Linked DNA regions of Lepisosteus oculatus. The protein of the gene in region 1 purifies or fractionates together with the protein of each later gene. This does not show direct contact. Links are inferred from orthologs where the notes say so. Each region holds a gene or a part of one and is shown on either strand. Other genes may lie near its edges.

Region 1 (8,012 bases):
TTTCCAGCGCACAGATGTTTACCGCGATGGAATCCGACACAAATGGCGCCTGGAATGTTAATGCCCAGACTGAAGGCAACCCTCTGTCTCCCAGGCACCTTTTCAATTTGTAACTGACTCACGGCCTCCAGAAAGTTAAAGGTCTATCTAATGACTTCCGCTAAAGTTCTCAGTTTCACAGCGGACAAATCGTTTCCCTCTGCTAATGACGGGCTGCAGGCATTGGGGTTTTTCACAAAAGGGAAATTTCCATAATTTGAATCGAATTGATAGGGCCTGGGAGGCAGGGAGAGATTTGCCATACGAGGTGCTTGTGACCTGCTCTGCACATGCAAATCCGTGCAGATGGATCTGACCTTTTCATGGGAGCTGGGTTACAAGTCGGCTGATCCAGGGGTGTTGTGCTCCAGGGTCCTTGGGCCAGAGGCCCTTTGGGAATTTAATCCGGTTGAGCTATTAATTCAGAACAAGAGAACAGTAAGAAAGGTCACGAATGAGAGGAGACCACTGAGCCTGCTGGCTGGATTATCACCACAGCCCAGAATCTCCTCTCATCCTGAGGGATCTTGCACACACACGTCAGGAGTCCTGACACCAGCCCTGCGTCTTTGCCAACCTTGGACGTGGGCTCTGGACGGCATCCCATAATTTCCACAGAGGCTCTCTGATGCCTCACCTGATTGTCTTGGCTGGAGGGAGTGACTTACATTGACTTTTGTGGACATCTTGCAGGATTGTCAGCAGCTGGATCGAGACAACTTGCAATTTCCTCTGCCTGAAGACCAAAGATGTCTCCCCCATCTTAATCGGTATTCATACTTCATCTCTTTGAACTAATTATTGTACTTAATTTAACCCTTTTCCCTTGCACTCTGAGCCCTGCTTATCCATGGCTTTCTCCAGACCCTCTTGGTTAATCTCTGGGACAGCGCTGAGTATATTGCCAATATCTGAAAATCTCACATATCCCAGGATCCCTCTGCTCTTCACATTCATTACGGAGGTGTGGCCGTGGGTCTCTGATCACACAGCTGTGTCTGGTGGAAATGCCCCCTACTCTGCTCTTGAGCCAGTGGGACAGGCAGAGAACAGGTCGCCTGTCAACGATCTTTAGCACTGAGAGTTTTTAGAGAGAAAAATGACGCATTCTGTGCTGTGGAATTGACGCCTTGGCAACTTCGGCCTTTTTGTTCTGCTGTTTTTCCAACAAATCCAGGAGGCCTCCAGAGAAAGTGACTAGAAAAGGGGTTTCCCTGCTCCCTAACAGTCCAGAGCTGAGACTGCTGGACCAGAGCTGGACTGCTGCGCGATTCAGGCAGTGCCGGTCCACACAGGCGTGGGGTGGGGGTACTCGTGCTTTGCCTGAAACCCGTGGGGAGCCGAGAGACCAGGAGTAAGTAAATAATCCCGTTTGTCCCCCTCTTCACTAACACACACTGCTGTAGTGATCTGCCCCCTTATGAAGATCCTGCACCCTGCAGCTGCCTTGCCTGTAACTGCAAGCATTTTGAGCAAAGAAAGACTCTAGATGACCCAGAAAGGAAATGTAATGGGGCTTCTGCTTTGCCTTATTGTAATTTACTGTGATCTGGGCTTTTTCACTATGGTGGAGCAGCTTTTGGAGGGAGAGGGGTGCATCACTTCGGGAATGATCATTTCATGGAGAAAAGGGGGTGCAGAGCACTGTTCTGATTTTCCTTTCCTCAGCGGATGCTCTCCCTGATGAGCAGCACAATGGGACCAGTCCGCTCAGCAATGCACACGTGGAATTGGAGCAGGTTCAGGGCACAGCAGTGTGCGGTCACACTTAAGGCTTCTGGGCTTGTAACTAGAGGATTGCAGGTTCACATCCCTGCTGGTACACTGCTGCTGTACTCTCAGGCAGTGGTCACCAACGTTAAGACTTCAAAGCCATTAAGGTGGGCCTGTTGAAAGAAAGGTGAATGGACAACAGCCCCTAAACAGGATAGCGATGATGAGATAATGGAAATATTGCCTTGGTTCCGGGAGTGCTAGTGCTGTCCAGCAGTGTTATAGCACATTAAGCCTGGAAGAGTGGTTAATGACACAAGCCTGGTGACTGGGCTGCTTCTTTGTGTGCAGGGGTTACTGTTATCATGATCACATTGTGCAGCAGCAGAAACCTTATATATTAGTATCCCTGGTGACCCCTTTGTAATTTCACTTCAAATGAACAAAAAAATCAATGTCACAGTAAAGATTAGATGTCATAACTTTACTTCGGCACAGAATGAAACCGCAGGTCGCCACTGATTTCCCAGACTAGCACTCATCTTTAAAAATGACATTTCCTCTGCGAAAAAAATATTTTTTTTGGGGGGTGGGGGGGTTCGATTTCCATTTTATTTCCCCGTGTTTTGAGTTGGACCCTTCCGTTTCCGAGCCTCCAGGCTGGGCCCAGCACAGTTTACACAGCGATACCGTTCTGGAGGCAGAGGCCTGCACAGCAAGTGGCGCCAGAGGAGCACCGCTTATAAAGAGCCGTACCTCCCCGCCGTGCAGTCTAATCAAAGTCCTCACAGGGAGAGCGGACACGGGAGATAAGGCGTACTGTAAATACTGCACATAAAAAACCTGTAAAACCAATATTTCCTTTTGTGCAACAGAGACTGGGGCTAAAAAAACAAAACAAGTGAAAGGCAACACGCCTGTTTGCAAGGAGTGGGAGCGAAACTCCAAGTTGACCAAAGGCAATGTCCGATATCGGCAGGATCACAACACAGCGCGTTGTTTTGCGAGGATGCGAGCAGTTACACGCCATTGCTTTGGACTAATAGAACCCGTCTGCAACAGGTTTGAAGCGAGTGGTGATCTACAGACACCCGGAAAGCTGGCCTGATCGTGACCCTGGAGGACCAGTGTTTCGGACCCCTGCTACAGTGATACGCACAGACAAAGCAAATGGACGCCCGTGTTAAGGCACCTGCTTTTTCTGGGTTCACTCGAAACCCTGGGTGGGGCTCAGTTCTATGTGCTGCAGTGTTTACACATGACACAGGGAGGATCTGCCTTTTGTTTTGTCCGATCACGTCCCCTTTCAGGCACAAAATCTGATTCACACTGTGTCCAGTGCTACTGCATTGCTCACCTTTTATCGCCCTTCCTAGTATTCCTTATCCTGTTCCCTCTGGATCCGGAACACAAAAACAATAGGAAAGATCACAGACAACAGGGGGCAGTTCTGTCCTTCTAGCACGATGGGTTCCTTGTAGCTCACTTGATCCCAGGATTTCTCCTGGGAACCCAGGTTGTTGGATTCAACAGTATGGAACCAGTGGCTTGTTCCACACTCCCACCACCCTTTGTGTAAAGCACATCTTGGTTTTAAATGCACTTCCATATAGCTTTCCTTTCCTCCCACGTGCTGTGGAGCTCTAGTTCTGTTTTCTTCAGCGCTTCACCTCAGTTCTCCCCTGCCTTGCCACGTCCTTCAGCCCTCAGCGTTTTGCTGCACGGTGTCTGTGCCCACCGCTGCTCTCAGCATGAGCTGTGGGTCGATAGAGCCTGGGAAAAGCTCACAGGACACCGTGCGGGCTGTCTGCGGAAGAAGTTCGGCTCAGAGCTCCAGCCCCACAGTTACCCAACATAACACTAGAGACGAGGCCATTCAGTGTGTCAAATGTGTTTAACACACGTGTTTGTTGCCACTTTTAATGTGACAATCATTCTCAAGAAAGAGGATTCACCCCCACTCCTAACTGTGAACTTTGCTAGGGTCTTGGAAAGATACCACACAGATTTACCCGACTAAAAGTTCACAACACTTCAAGTGAACACTGAGGAGCTGTCTGACTGTTCGTTTTTAACGAGGGGCTTATTTTACATGAAACGATTGAATAACATAATAATAGTGAAATGTAGCGCTCTCAGGTTCACGTGGGTATGCGCCCCTACCTGCTACCGCTTCAGGTCGGTCCCCCAACTCGAACCCGGGCCTCTGGTGTCACTCCCCATGGACCCAGCCGGTTGAGCCAAAGGCGAATCGATCTCCCGTCAGCCCGACAGCTATGGTCCCTGCTATTCACAGAGAAGGGCGGTGATGTCGCCGCGCTGGGAAGCCGGCTCGCACAACCTGTACTGGGTTTGCAGGCAGTTAAAGGTGTTTTTTTTATTTAAGAATATTGATATTTTATTGTACTGCTGTATTGTACAAATATTGTACAATTCGGAAAAAGAGCATTTATTTAGAGTAAATTTATTAGCCATTCTGGGTAAGTTTCACATTCATAAATCAAAATGGTCTAATAATACTCCCCTTTTTTGTACTTTTGAGGTGGAGTTGAAACTATTTAAATTCTATTTAAAAAATGAGAAATAATAAAGCAAGGAAAAAATATATATAAAAAAATACAATTTGATCCCATTATCTACTTCATTACCTCTGGCGGTTAAATGTTTTTTTCTGTTTGTGTTTTTTTCTCTTGTACCTGTTTCTGATCCTCTGGTTGTAGTTGTATTTGTACATTCTTTATACGTTTAATAAAAAATCATTTCAACAAAGCAACCTGCAACGCCGGCCATATGCGTTACAGAAATAATAAAATTAAAATTAAATTTCAAATAAAAGTGATAACAAAAGGTAAAAATAAGGAAAAACAGCCTAGTCTCAGCAGCTGGTGTCTTCTTTTTACGAGATATTGCTATTTCATTCATATCCTTTTGACCACGACGGTGATGGTTCCCTCTAGTGGTACAAAACCTGGACAATATACTGAATTTACAACAGAGTTTAATGGAATGCACTGCCACCTATTGGATAAATATCGAAATTACTCCTGTAGCTATAAGCCATCACCAGCACTGATCCTACACTTTGGTCATTCTACAAAATCATTGGTTGGTTTCCATGTCCGTTTTAAGACCATGGGCTATTTGATTGGCTACTCCTCGACGGAAGTTCAGGGGCGGAATCTTCTCTCATTGGTTAGAAAGGGTCGCTCCAGCGCTCTGATTGGTCTATAGTTCCACATGGGGTGACGTGTCAATGTCGGTGTAAATACATGGCTGTTCTGGGCGTCTGTCAGTCAGCTTGAAGAGAAATAACCAGTTCAAATGCTGATTTTAATTTAAAAAAGAAGCTACATAAAGTACAATGGAGGTATTTTAAGAGTTTGGGATCTGTAATTGTTAATTCGTCAGAAACTAAATAATATAGATACGCGAGGCATATGTATACATTAAGAATTTAAGCAATACAGTTATCTGTTATGAAATTGTCTTTAAAGCTGATGTTTTTTTTAACTGAAAGCGATAAAAATGTAACGAGGAGCTGAGAACAACACTTTTTTAATAACCTACTGGGTCAGGGATTATAGTTGTTAACTCAAATCCGCACGGGCCTTTTACAATAATGAAACTGCATGTGGTTAAGTTGTAATCATTACACTGTTGTTGAGCTTGATTTCAACATATCTGCTATCGTTTATTAACACAGGAGAGTCTGTTACTGGACGTTATGGTCCTTGTGTGACTATAACTGACACGCAAGGATACTGATGTCCAGACTGTGTTTTAAGGCTTGTTTTACCTTCGAAAAGTAAGTTTTTAATCTTTTTTACAGGACTATCAGAAGCTTCCTATTGACATCCAGACCAGCAAGCTCCTAGGTAATTATTCCGGGACAGTCCAGGCTCTTGTTAGTGATGTGTTGACTGTGAGAGTTCTCTTGGATTCTGATTGGGCAAGTTCATATCTTTCAGAAATAGAAGATAAACTGTAGAACTAGGGTGTACATCAGCAGTGTTTGGGAGACACATTAGCCACTGGCCAGTGCTTTTATCAGTACAACCATCAGGCCCCTCTACAGATTGTAATAAGGAAACAGACATTGTGTTTTTAAATGTCTCTGTTTGCCCATTTTATCTGCAATAGGGTCATAGGGATAAAACATTTAACAACTGGAATTTATGAGCCTGAAATGGTTTAGGGGGCTATGCAAAGGGTGTTTTATTTCTGTCTCTCTAATTATAACATGTGATATGAAAGAACTATACAGGTTTACCAGAACAAGTTTAGTTCTCCATAAACTTTCTCAGAACAGGATTTAATTAAGTGTTACTATTTAATTAAGTGCATTGTTATTCTACAGTTTAGGTCGGTTTTAAGCATGTTTGATTTAAAATTCATCCTGGTGGGACGGTGATGTTTGGGGAGGGCAGACAGAGTCCGAGGAGGGCGGGCGAGGCCTAAGCCAGCAGCCATATCACCCTGCAACTCACAACTGGCAGCCCACTGAAGCCCAGCAGGGTTTAGCCTGGTCAGTACCTGGATGGGAGACTCCTGGGAAAAACTAAGGTTGCTGCTAGAAGAGGTGTTAGTGGGGCCAGCAGGGGGCGCTCACCCTGCGGTCCATGTGGGTCCTAATGCCCCAGTATAGTGAGGGGGACACTATACTGTAAACAGGCGCCGTCCTTCGGATGAGACGTAAAACCGAGGTCCTGACTCTCTGTGGTCATTAAAAATCCCAGGGCGCTTCTCGAAAAGAGTAGGGGTGTAACCCCGGTGTCCTGGCCAAATTTCCAATTGGCCCTTACTAATCATGTCCTCCTAATAATCCCCCTCTATGAATTGGCTTCATTACTCTGCTCTCCTCCCCACTGAGAGCTGATGTGTGGGGAGCGTTCTGGCGCACTATGGCTGCCGTCGCATCATCCAGGTGGGGCTGCACACTGGGGGTGGTGGAGGGGATCCCCATTACCTGTAAAGCGCTTTGAGTGGAGTGTCCAGAAAAGCGCTATATAAGTGCAAGCAATAATTATTATTATTATTATTATAAGCTCAAGACCTGTCTTCAGCCGCTGTGTGTGTGTGTGTCCTGGCAGACTGGCTGGTGGACCGGCGACACTGCAGTCTGAAGTGGCAGGCCGCAGTGCAGAGCATCCGGGAGAAGATAACCACCGCCGTGCAGGACATGCCGGAGAGCGAGGAGCTGCGGGAGCTGCTGTCCGGCTCCTGTGAGTGATGGCCCGTGTGCCCTCCCGGACCTCGAGCACCATGAACAAGGGAAACTGACACGTATCTCCGCCAGCAGCGAGTGCTTATGTGTACAGTACCTGCATATTTAAATCTGTCACTTCGTACTGTCCTGTTGGAGAACAGAATAATACTGTGCAGAAAAAGGAAAATACTATTCTGATTGACTGTATAGCTTGTGTGGGTTATTATTAATTAATTATTAGCTCCTCCTCCTCCTCGTGTGGCCACCTAGTTTGTGTGGCTCTGCTCTCACCTGGCAGCCGCTCATGTGGGGATTGAGGCAGTGTACACACGCTCTGACCCCACCCCTGCGTTCCTGGAACGTCTCGGGGGTCACAGTGCTGTGGGAACCTCCCTGCGATGGAGAGACTTTGTGTCTCTAGTTTCCACAGCTGGCGCGTGCCCAAACCACTGTGCCGGGTCACAGAACCGTTACTTGGCCAGAGAGTCACCCACAATGTCTTTTCTCCGTCTGGTTCCAGACATCCACTATTTCCACTGCCAGAGAATAGTGGAGATCCTGAAGGACACAGAGGCATCTTCAAAGAACATATTTGGGAGATACTCGTCTCAGAGGATGAAGGTGAGGAAAAGAGCTCGTCCTGGTGGAATGGGCTTTTGTAACACGGTGCAGGATTTCCCTGCTTTCCGTTGGCTAACAGTAGACACATGCTCTGGGTGGATGCCGGGCAAATTCTTTTCTGGTGATATGGCCAGCAGCCATATCACTCTGCAACTCCCAGCTGGCAGCCCACTGAAGCTAAGCAGGTGTGAGCCTGGTCAGTACCGGGATGGGAGACCTCCTGGGAAAAACTAAGGTTGCTGCTGGAAGAGGTGTTAATGGGGCCAGCAGGAGGTGCTCACCCTGAGGTCCATGTGGGTCCTAATGCCGCAGCATAGTGACGGGGACACTATACTGTAAACAGGCGCCGTCCTTCGGATGAGACATAAAACCGAGGTCCTGACTCTCTGTGGTCATTAAAAATCCCAGGGCGTTTCTCTAAAAGAGTAGGGGT
Region 2 (6,826 bases), on another chromosome or scaffold:
CGCAGCTTTTGAAAGCTGGCATTTTGTCCTACCAACCCGTCGATGTTTTCAGTCTACTGCTGCAGAGGTGAGCCATGGCACATTTCACAAATGAAACATTCTGTGAAAACACAGGTCTTACTGAGTGGCAAGTGTGATACAGATCTGTAAAAGCCCATCTACTCAGTTAAAGAAGACATTATCCTATTCCTTTCATTTACACCAGAGCTAGTCAGAGTCAGTAAGCCTGTATTTATGTTGACCTGTCGGGTCTGTTCAGTTCCCAAGCACCTCACGTTTGGAGCAGCACTGGCACTGTATATTAAAGCTCTGGAGAAGATTCCCCAATTCCCCAAGAACTACCAAAAAAAACAATGACAAATAAAGTAAAAACAGGGGCTTTCAACTGGAAAGAGGATAAGTCTGATATGTTGGTTATTCATTCTTTAACTATGAATGTTACAGCATATTTTTCCAAATTTCACAGTTTTAAAAACATGCGATTCATTCCCCCTGCTTGAGAAAATATACCAAAATTCAATATGAAATATCTTAAACTGTAATTAATAAGGGTACATTTAATAAACAAGAAATAATACAGCAAGCATATTGTCCTTTCTTTAAGATACTATTTATGTGCAATTTTTCATGATGGGAATTTCTATATCAAGCACTGGTTTCCCCTGCAAATACGCATTTAAACGTATTTTTACATTAACATTGAAGCCCAGTTACATGGGATACTCTGTGCCTCCGCTATCAGCTCGATAAAGTGCACCCAGGGAGCACAGCAAAGCATGATCTCTTTCAAAAAAAAACATTTTAAGCATTACCAAAATGTTTGTGCTGTGTTTCTTATCCTCCATTGAATTATATTTTTAAAGTATTATTATTTGGTTTTACAAAAACCCCAACTTACGTTATGAAACAATGATAATCCAAGGAATGTGAGGAACTCACTGGCACAATTCAACAAGCCAAGTGTATAACAGTAACCACATGACTTGAACGCCCCCCACTCTCATCTTGCCTTTACACTCTCTTTTACAGCTGATAGCATTAATCTCGCATTTTTCAGCCCAAAACTGTACATACAGTAAGAGGGGATCCAACTCTAAGCATCTTAAGCACTTATGCACACAATAACAACAGACAATGTGCCTCACAAATTCAGGCTTCATAGGAGTGTGGCTAAACGAAAGCCATTGCTGGAAAGAAAACACATCAAATCTCAATAACAGTTTGCCAGAAGTCACGTGAAAGTCTCAGAGACGAGGTGAAAAAGGAATCGAAGGTCTGGTAAGACTAAAGTTGACCTTACTGCCCTCAACACTAAGCACAGTTTGGTGTAAGCACAACACCACACGTTATCCCTACAGTGAAGCATGGTGGTGCTGGCGTCATGCTAGGAGGATTCTCCCGGGCATCGTGGCCTGGAAGACTTGTGAAGACAGAAGGCAAGATGGATGCAGAGGAAGCCTGGAGGAGAATCTGCTGCAGCCTGCCAGACGCCATGGACTTGGGAGAAGATTCATCTTGCAGAATAACAATGACCCTAAGCCAGACTGGAGTGGTTCAAAGCAAAAAGCCAAAGCTCTGGAGTGGTCCAGTCAAAGCCTTTGAATCTTTAATCGGGAATGTGTGGCAGGAATTGGAAATGGCTGCTCACCAACAGTCCCCATCCATCTCAAGGGGGGGTTTGAGCAGTTTTGCAAAGCACAACGATCACCAACTGCAGTGTCCAGATGGGCAAAGCTGGTAGAGACACTTATCCAAGAAGACTCGGGGTGGTAATTTGTGCCTCTACCAAATATTCACTCAAGGGTCATAAGTACTTACACAATTAGCCCTTTTGTGTTTTATATTAATGACAAATGTAGGACAAACTGTGGAATTTTGTTTCACTTTGACATTACAGAGTGTTTTGTGTTGAACCACTGCAACAAATCCCAATTAAATACAATATGATTCCATGTTGTAACAGAATAAAATGTGAAAGGGTCTAAGAGAAATGAATGGTTTTGACAGCCACTTTGTTGGCACATTTGGGAATTCAATGTTTTCTTAATCCAGCTCATTTACAGCACTGAAGCTACTGGGGTATTCTCGGGATGCTAATGTCAAAACTTCATGAAAGGCAAATATGAAATCATAACCCATCTGTACCCGAAGGAAAAATAAATCATTTCTGAAATTAAATGATACTGCTTCAAGAAAATGAAAGATCTTATTGAACTATCATGGGAAATGAAGGTGAGGCCCTGAATAGGTCTGGGCAAAAGTAAAAGCAGCATTTCTATCCTGCTGTGTCAAAGAACAGCACCGCCAGCACAGGAATCCCAGTGCTGGAGCTGGAAGGCACAACACAATAGAATTGTGCCCTTAGCAAGGATAAAACAGGCCCTCACGGTGTAATGATTACCGATCACTCCGGCACGTCCAGCAACAACATTGATTCTGGTTGATAAACAAATCATGACTGTGCTATTTCTAACGTGAAGGGACACAATTTTCACATTAGACTCCGGCTTTTGTGGCTTTTAAGACATATATACGTCTATAGGCCCCCCCATACAAGGGACTAGAGCTAATTCCATTACTGAGCTCCGCTTCCAGCTCCACCTTTTTTCATGTGAACCGGTCGGGTTATCCGCAGATGCCCTTGCCCGTTACAATTTCTTCGTTTTGTCTCCAAACGCCAACAACTCCGCACCACACACCCCAGTGAAAACACGAACGCCACGGGCGAACGCACGGCGCCGGCTTTACCTCTCGGGCTGGCGTCCTGCAGATACGGCGGCGCTGTAGGTGTGACATTACCGGAGTCTGGCAATGACAGCAAGGGAGACCGCTCATCCACCGTCTCCGAGGCCATGTCTGCAAGCGGTATCGCCTGACAGCCGCAGAGTTACAACAACAGCGCCCGTAGGTTTTCCTCCGCTTCTCTGGAAGCGGACCAATGCGTCATGAACAGCACAGACCCAGCAAGGGCAGCTGTTTGGAGGCGGGGCCAAGGGGCGGGGGGGCGGCCGGGGATAAGCCAGGGAAACGTGGGAATGAGCACGGGAATCCTGCGCTAGTGTAACGCAACGCTCCTGTCCGGGACTTCTCCCAGCCCAATCGCAGTCTTCGCAGATGACTTGGGCTCAGATGATGCGTCGTGTCGTGACGTGATGCAACAGCGCAGAACGGCTTTCTCGGCGGAGCCCGAAGAATTGTGAATAAACAAAAAGGATGGAATTAAAAAACGGGAGTGGTTACAGTTAATTTCTGTTAGAATGTGTATATATATAAAGAATATCTATGTAATATCTACAGTGTACAGGACGCTTATAATAAATCAGCATCGGTCAACAGAGAGCGTTAAACAGGCAGTGGTTGTATATAGTGGGACCTCTGTACAGGACTACTGAAAGACAGGAGACGTTAGTAAAACAGAAAAAAACGGGGTTGTTCATTAAAAAAACGTACCCCTTGACAAGGACCTTAAACTCTCAAGGAAATTAAACTCTCGTGTTTTATATGTACAGTATGTTTGTATAGAATTGCTGCTTCTTGTTCTCTTTCATCTTTAATCTCACCATTACATTGATCACATGTCTTATATCCAGTCCCGCTCTCCATCCCAGCAAAAAAAAGTTTTAGGGGTTTTAATGTATTATTTGGTTATCTGAAGTGTACAGCTGTACGACTTCGATAGCCTTGGAATAAAAGTTCGAATCAGGTTCCGTATTTTATTAAGTTTTTGAGGGGAGGGGAACAGAATGATATAAATACAATTAAAATAAAATAGTAGAATGTTGTTATAAAGACCCTATAGGATCACGTTTAGCCTTAAACATCTGGAAAAGTTGCAACCAGCACATTCCCACCTCCAGCCTCCAGCAGCAGGAAATACGTCACGGACCCCCGTGCAGCGTGGTTGGACCCGGTCTCGTGGTAGTCATATGACGAAGCGCGTTCGGAATCAAGAGCGGCCTGTGTCTTCTCAAACGCAGACGTCACACAGCGAGACAGAACAAAATGCCTTTCCAAGCGGATTCCGCAAAGATACTGTAAATGCAAAACCCAGTTGTCTCCGCGTTCAGCATATGACGATTTTTAGTTTGCAATGTCCCCCCCCCAGTGAGATGTATTAGAAATAGACACGTCCTGCACAAGAGTTTGGTTCCCTTTGCGCATCATTATCTCCATCTGAAATAAAGTTGTCATTTGAAAATACCTTTTAATTCCTCTTTATAAAGTGTATGGTTAAGCAGTAATTGGAGGAATACAGCCTGAGTTCTGAGTTTATTTTATTCGATTTCTATTGCACTGTTATGTATTATTATGTAAAATTAATTTTGTAACTTTAATTTTGTGATTTCTATCCACCCGGTGTGCTCGCAGGAAAGACATTCCATTGCCAGCAACTACTGCTGCACGCTGTGCTGTTGTGTATTTGATAATAAACTTTGAATGATTGGTTGATTGAATTGATTGAGTCTAAGCAAGCAGCCAGAAGAGTTACATGGCGAAATTAGAAATGGTAATTTAGAATAGGGGTTCCTCGGGAACAGAAGAGAGAAACACCCTGGGCTGCACACTTGTCCACTAACCTCGTTTTCCCTTTTAGTCTTGCTTTAAAGACCTGACGATCTCAAGCCACTAGATAACCTGTTGTTGACACTACAGTACCCATAAATCTCTGCGACAGACGCTACGTCACGCACTACCCATTTTTATTGGCTAATGTGTCCCATGTGATTACATCTTTAAGCCAATAGTTTTGCGAGAGGAGAGGTGAAAGTGGAAAGAAGCTAGCAGCATGGTGTTGATTAGCAAACTTGTGATCTGATTATTAATTAAAAACCCAAAAGGAAATATGGAAGAAGTGGAAAAAGCAGAAGAGCTTATTAGTAAGCAGCATCGGAAAGAGAAGAAAGATTTACAAGGTGAATTAGTGAGTTGTTTTGTGCAGAGCTTAATCTGAATATCTTTAAATAGAATCAGTTTTAGCTTTCTTGCATGGTAAGGCTTTGGTTTGTGGTAGGATTCATGTAAGAACTGTAAACCGGGGCTTGCTTATAGCTTCGAAAACATTGTGAGTCATTATATATGAGAATTGTTTTGCCTCAAGAGTAATTTTAATCGTTTTTTTTGTGTTATGAACACTGTCGCCAACACAGTTTTAAAACGTAGACTGTTCCATTACCTTTAATTATAATAAAAGAGTTATGCGATTTAGTGGGCGTTAATTTTGAATTGAATTAATTTGATCGCTTTTTGTTATGACTTCAGTCTTCATGGTAAAGTGTGCCTCTTTTTACACAGCTAAGATCCAGAGTATGAAGAACGCTGTGCCCAAGAATGACAAAAAGAGGAGAAAACAGCTTACTGAAGAAATCGCAAAGCTGGAAGCTGAGCTGACACAAAAACACGAAGAAGAGCTGAAACAGCTGAAGGATACTGTGGCTACAGACACGGTAGGTACATCCCTACAAACGAGTTACTATCGATTCAATTTTTACTTAGGTCGCCTGTAGCTTTCTGTTTTTACACTTTTTTACACACAGTTTTACAGAAAGCTGTCAAAGAGTATAATGTATGAATCAGTGTGTTTGACTTTGCATTACCATGTTATCCTTGTCGTGGATAAATCTGTATGATTCTGTAAAATATCACAAACTTAACATGTAGTCATTTATCTGCAGCATTGTGCATTACTTTTAATTATTTTTTAATTATTGCTTATGTTGTATGTATATTATTGCTGGTTGACTATACCCGTTTAAACACTGTTTTGTGTAGTTTATAGTACCTTATGTTGTTCATTTGTGTCTTGGACTGTAGTATGAAGTGATGCAAAACGTGCACAATGCAGCAAAAAACCAGAATTTCTCTGTGTGTGTGTGAATTTGGTAAGGTTCTGGTTGCATTCGGAATTCCATATGGTCAAGAGTTTATTTCAGTAAATTATTCTGTATTAAATTGTTTGTGTTTTTCAGGAAGACGTGGCTGCTAATGGACTAGAAAACCTGGTCTTAGACAGTGAAGAGCAAAAAGATGTTAAGCAAACTCGAGTTTCCAAAGCCCAGAAGAGAAGGGTGAGAACAGGTGCTTTGTTTCCGAGATGAGGGGTTGTGCCCAACATCAGAAGTATTTCAATTTAAATATGGAAACGTTTGTCATCAGTGTCAAGCAATTTCTGCGAGCACAGGCAAATCCTGTAAAGGACTGGGTATCATAAAGTGTTTTTTTTCTTCATTTGTAAATGTCTACAATTTGTCTAGTTTTGTGGTTTTCCTTCATAAGAGCAGAAGAAGGGTTAGAAACGAGAGAAGTTCTTTGGGGTCATTTCATTAAGGCTGTTGTCTTGGTAGTTAGAAATAGCTGTAATGGCCTTCAATCTCTCCAGGACAAGAAGGCAGCTTTGGAAAAGGAGCGGGAGACCAGAATTGCAGAAGCTGAAATTGAGAACCTCTCAGGATCCCGACACCTGGAGCAGCAGAAGCTTTCCAAGATGCTGGCCGAAAGGCAGCTGCAAATCAAGCACATCCCCTCTGACGGGCACTGCATGTACCGGGCAGTGGAGGACCAGCTGCAGGAGAGAGGCGGCTCCTACAGCCTGGAGCAGCTCCGAGGTCGCACTGCTCAATACATGCGAAGTCACATCGATGACTTCCTGCCTTTCCTAACCAACCCGAACACAGGCGACATATACACACCAGGTAGGGCTGTCCAGGTGGTGACCAGTCAAATCCTGGAAACATCTCTGCCATTTTGTAGACGCAGTTTTAGTTTTTGTATAATATTTTAGATGTTTGACATTTAATGAAAGTGTGAATGTTCAATGGATTGCATGATT

What was found.
Region 2: the proteins of cdk5rap3 (region 1) and pip4p2 purify together in Homo sapiens (affinity purification with mass spectrometry; 3 studies listed by BioGRID and IntAct, counting the BioPlex papers as one, with this or other methods). This does not show direct contact. The link is inferred for Lepisosteus oculatus from reciprocal best matches to the Homo sapiens genes CDK5RAP3 and PIP4P2.

What each region holds. Positions count from the first base shown.
Region 1 is NC_090723.1:8,876,958-8,884,969, forward strand, and holds the start of cdk5rap3 (CDK5 regulatory subunit-associated protein 3), read left to right. Parts: upstream 1-5,000; 5' UTR 5,001-5,113; coding exon 5,114-5,119; intron 5,120-5,581; coding exon 5,582-5,627; intron 5,628-6,842; coding exon 6,843-6,974; intron 6,975-7,478; coding exon 7,479-7,579; intron 7,580-8,012. UniProt on the Homo sapiens protein: Substrate adapter of E3 ligase complexes mediating ufmylation, the covalent attachment of the ubiquitin-like modifier UFM1 to substrate proteins, and which is involved in various processes, such as ribosome recycling and reticulophagy (also called ER-phagy).
Region 2 is NC_090705.1:6,916,977-6,923,802, forward strand, and holds the start of pip4p2 (type 2 phosphatidylinositol 4,5-bisphosphate 4-phosphatase), read right to left. Parts: upstream 3,016-6,826; 5' UTR 2,855-3,015; coding exon 2,749-2,854; intron 1-2,748. Other genes in the region: deubiquitinase OTUD6B, read left to right, coding at 4,844-4,913, 5,293-5,444, 5,967-6,065, 6,377-6,689. UniProt on the Homo sapiens protein: Catalyzes the hydrolysis of phosphatidylinositol-4,5-bisphosphate (PtdIns-4,5-P2) to phosphatidylinositol-4-phosphate (PtdIns-4-P).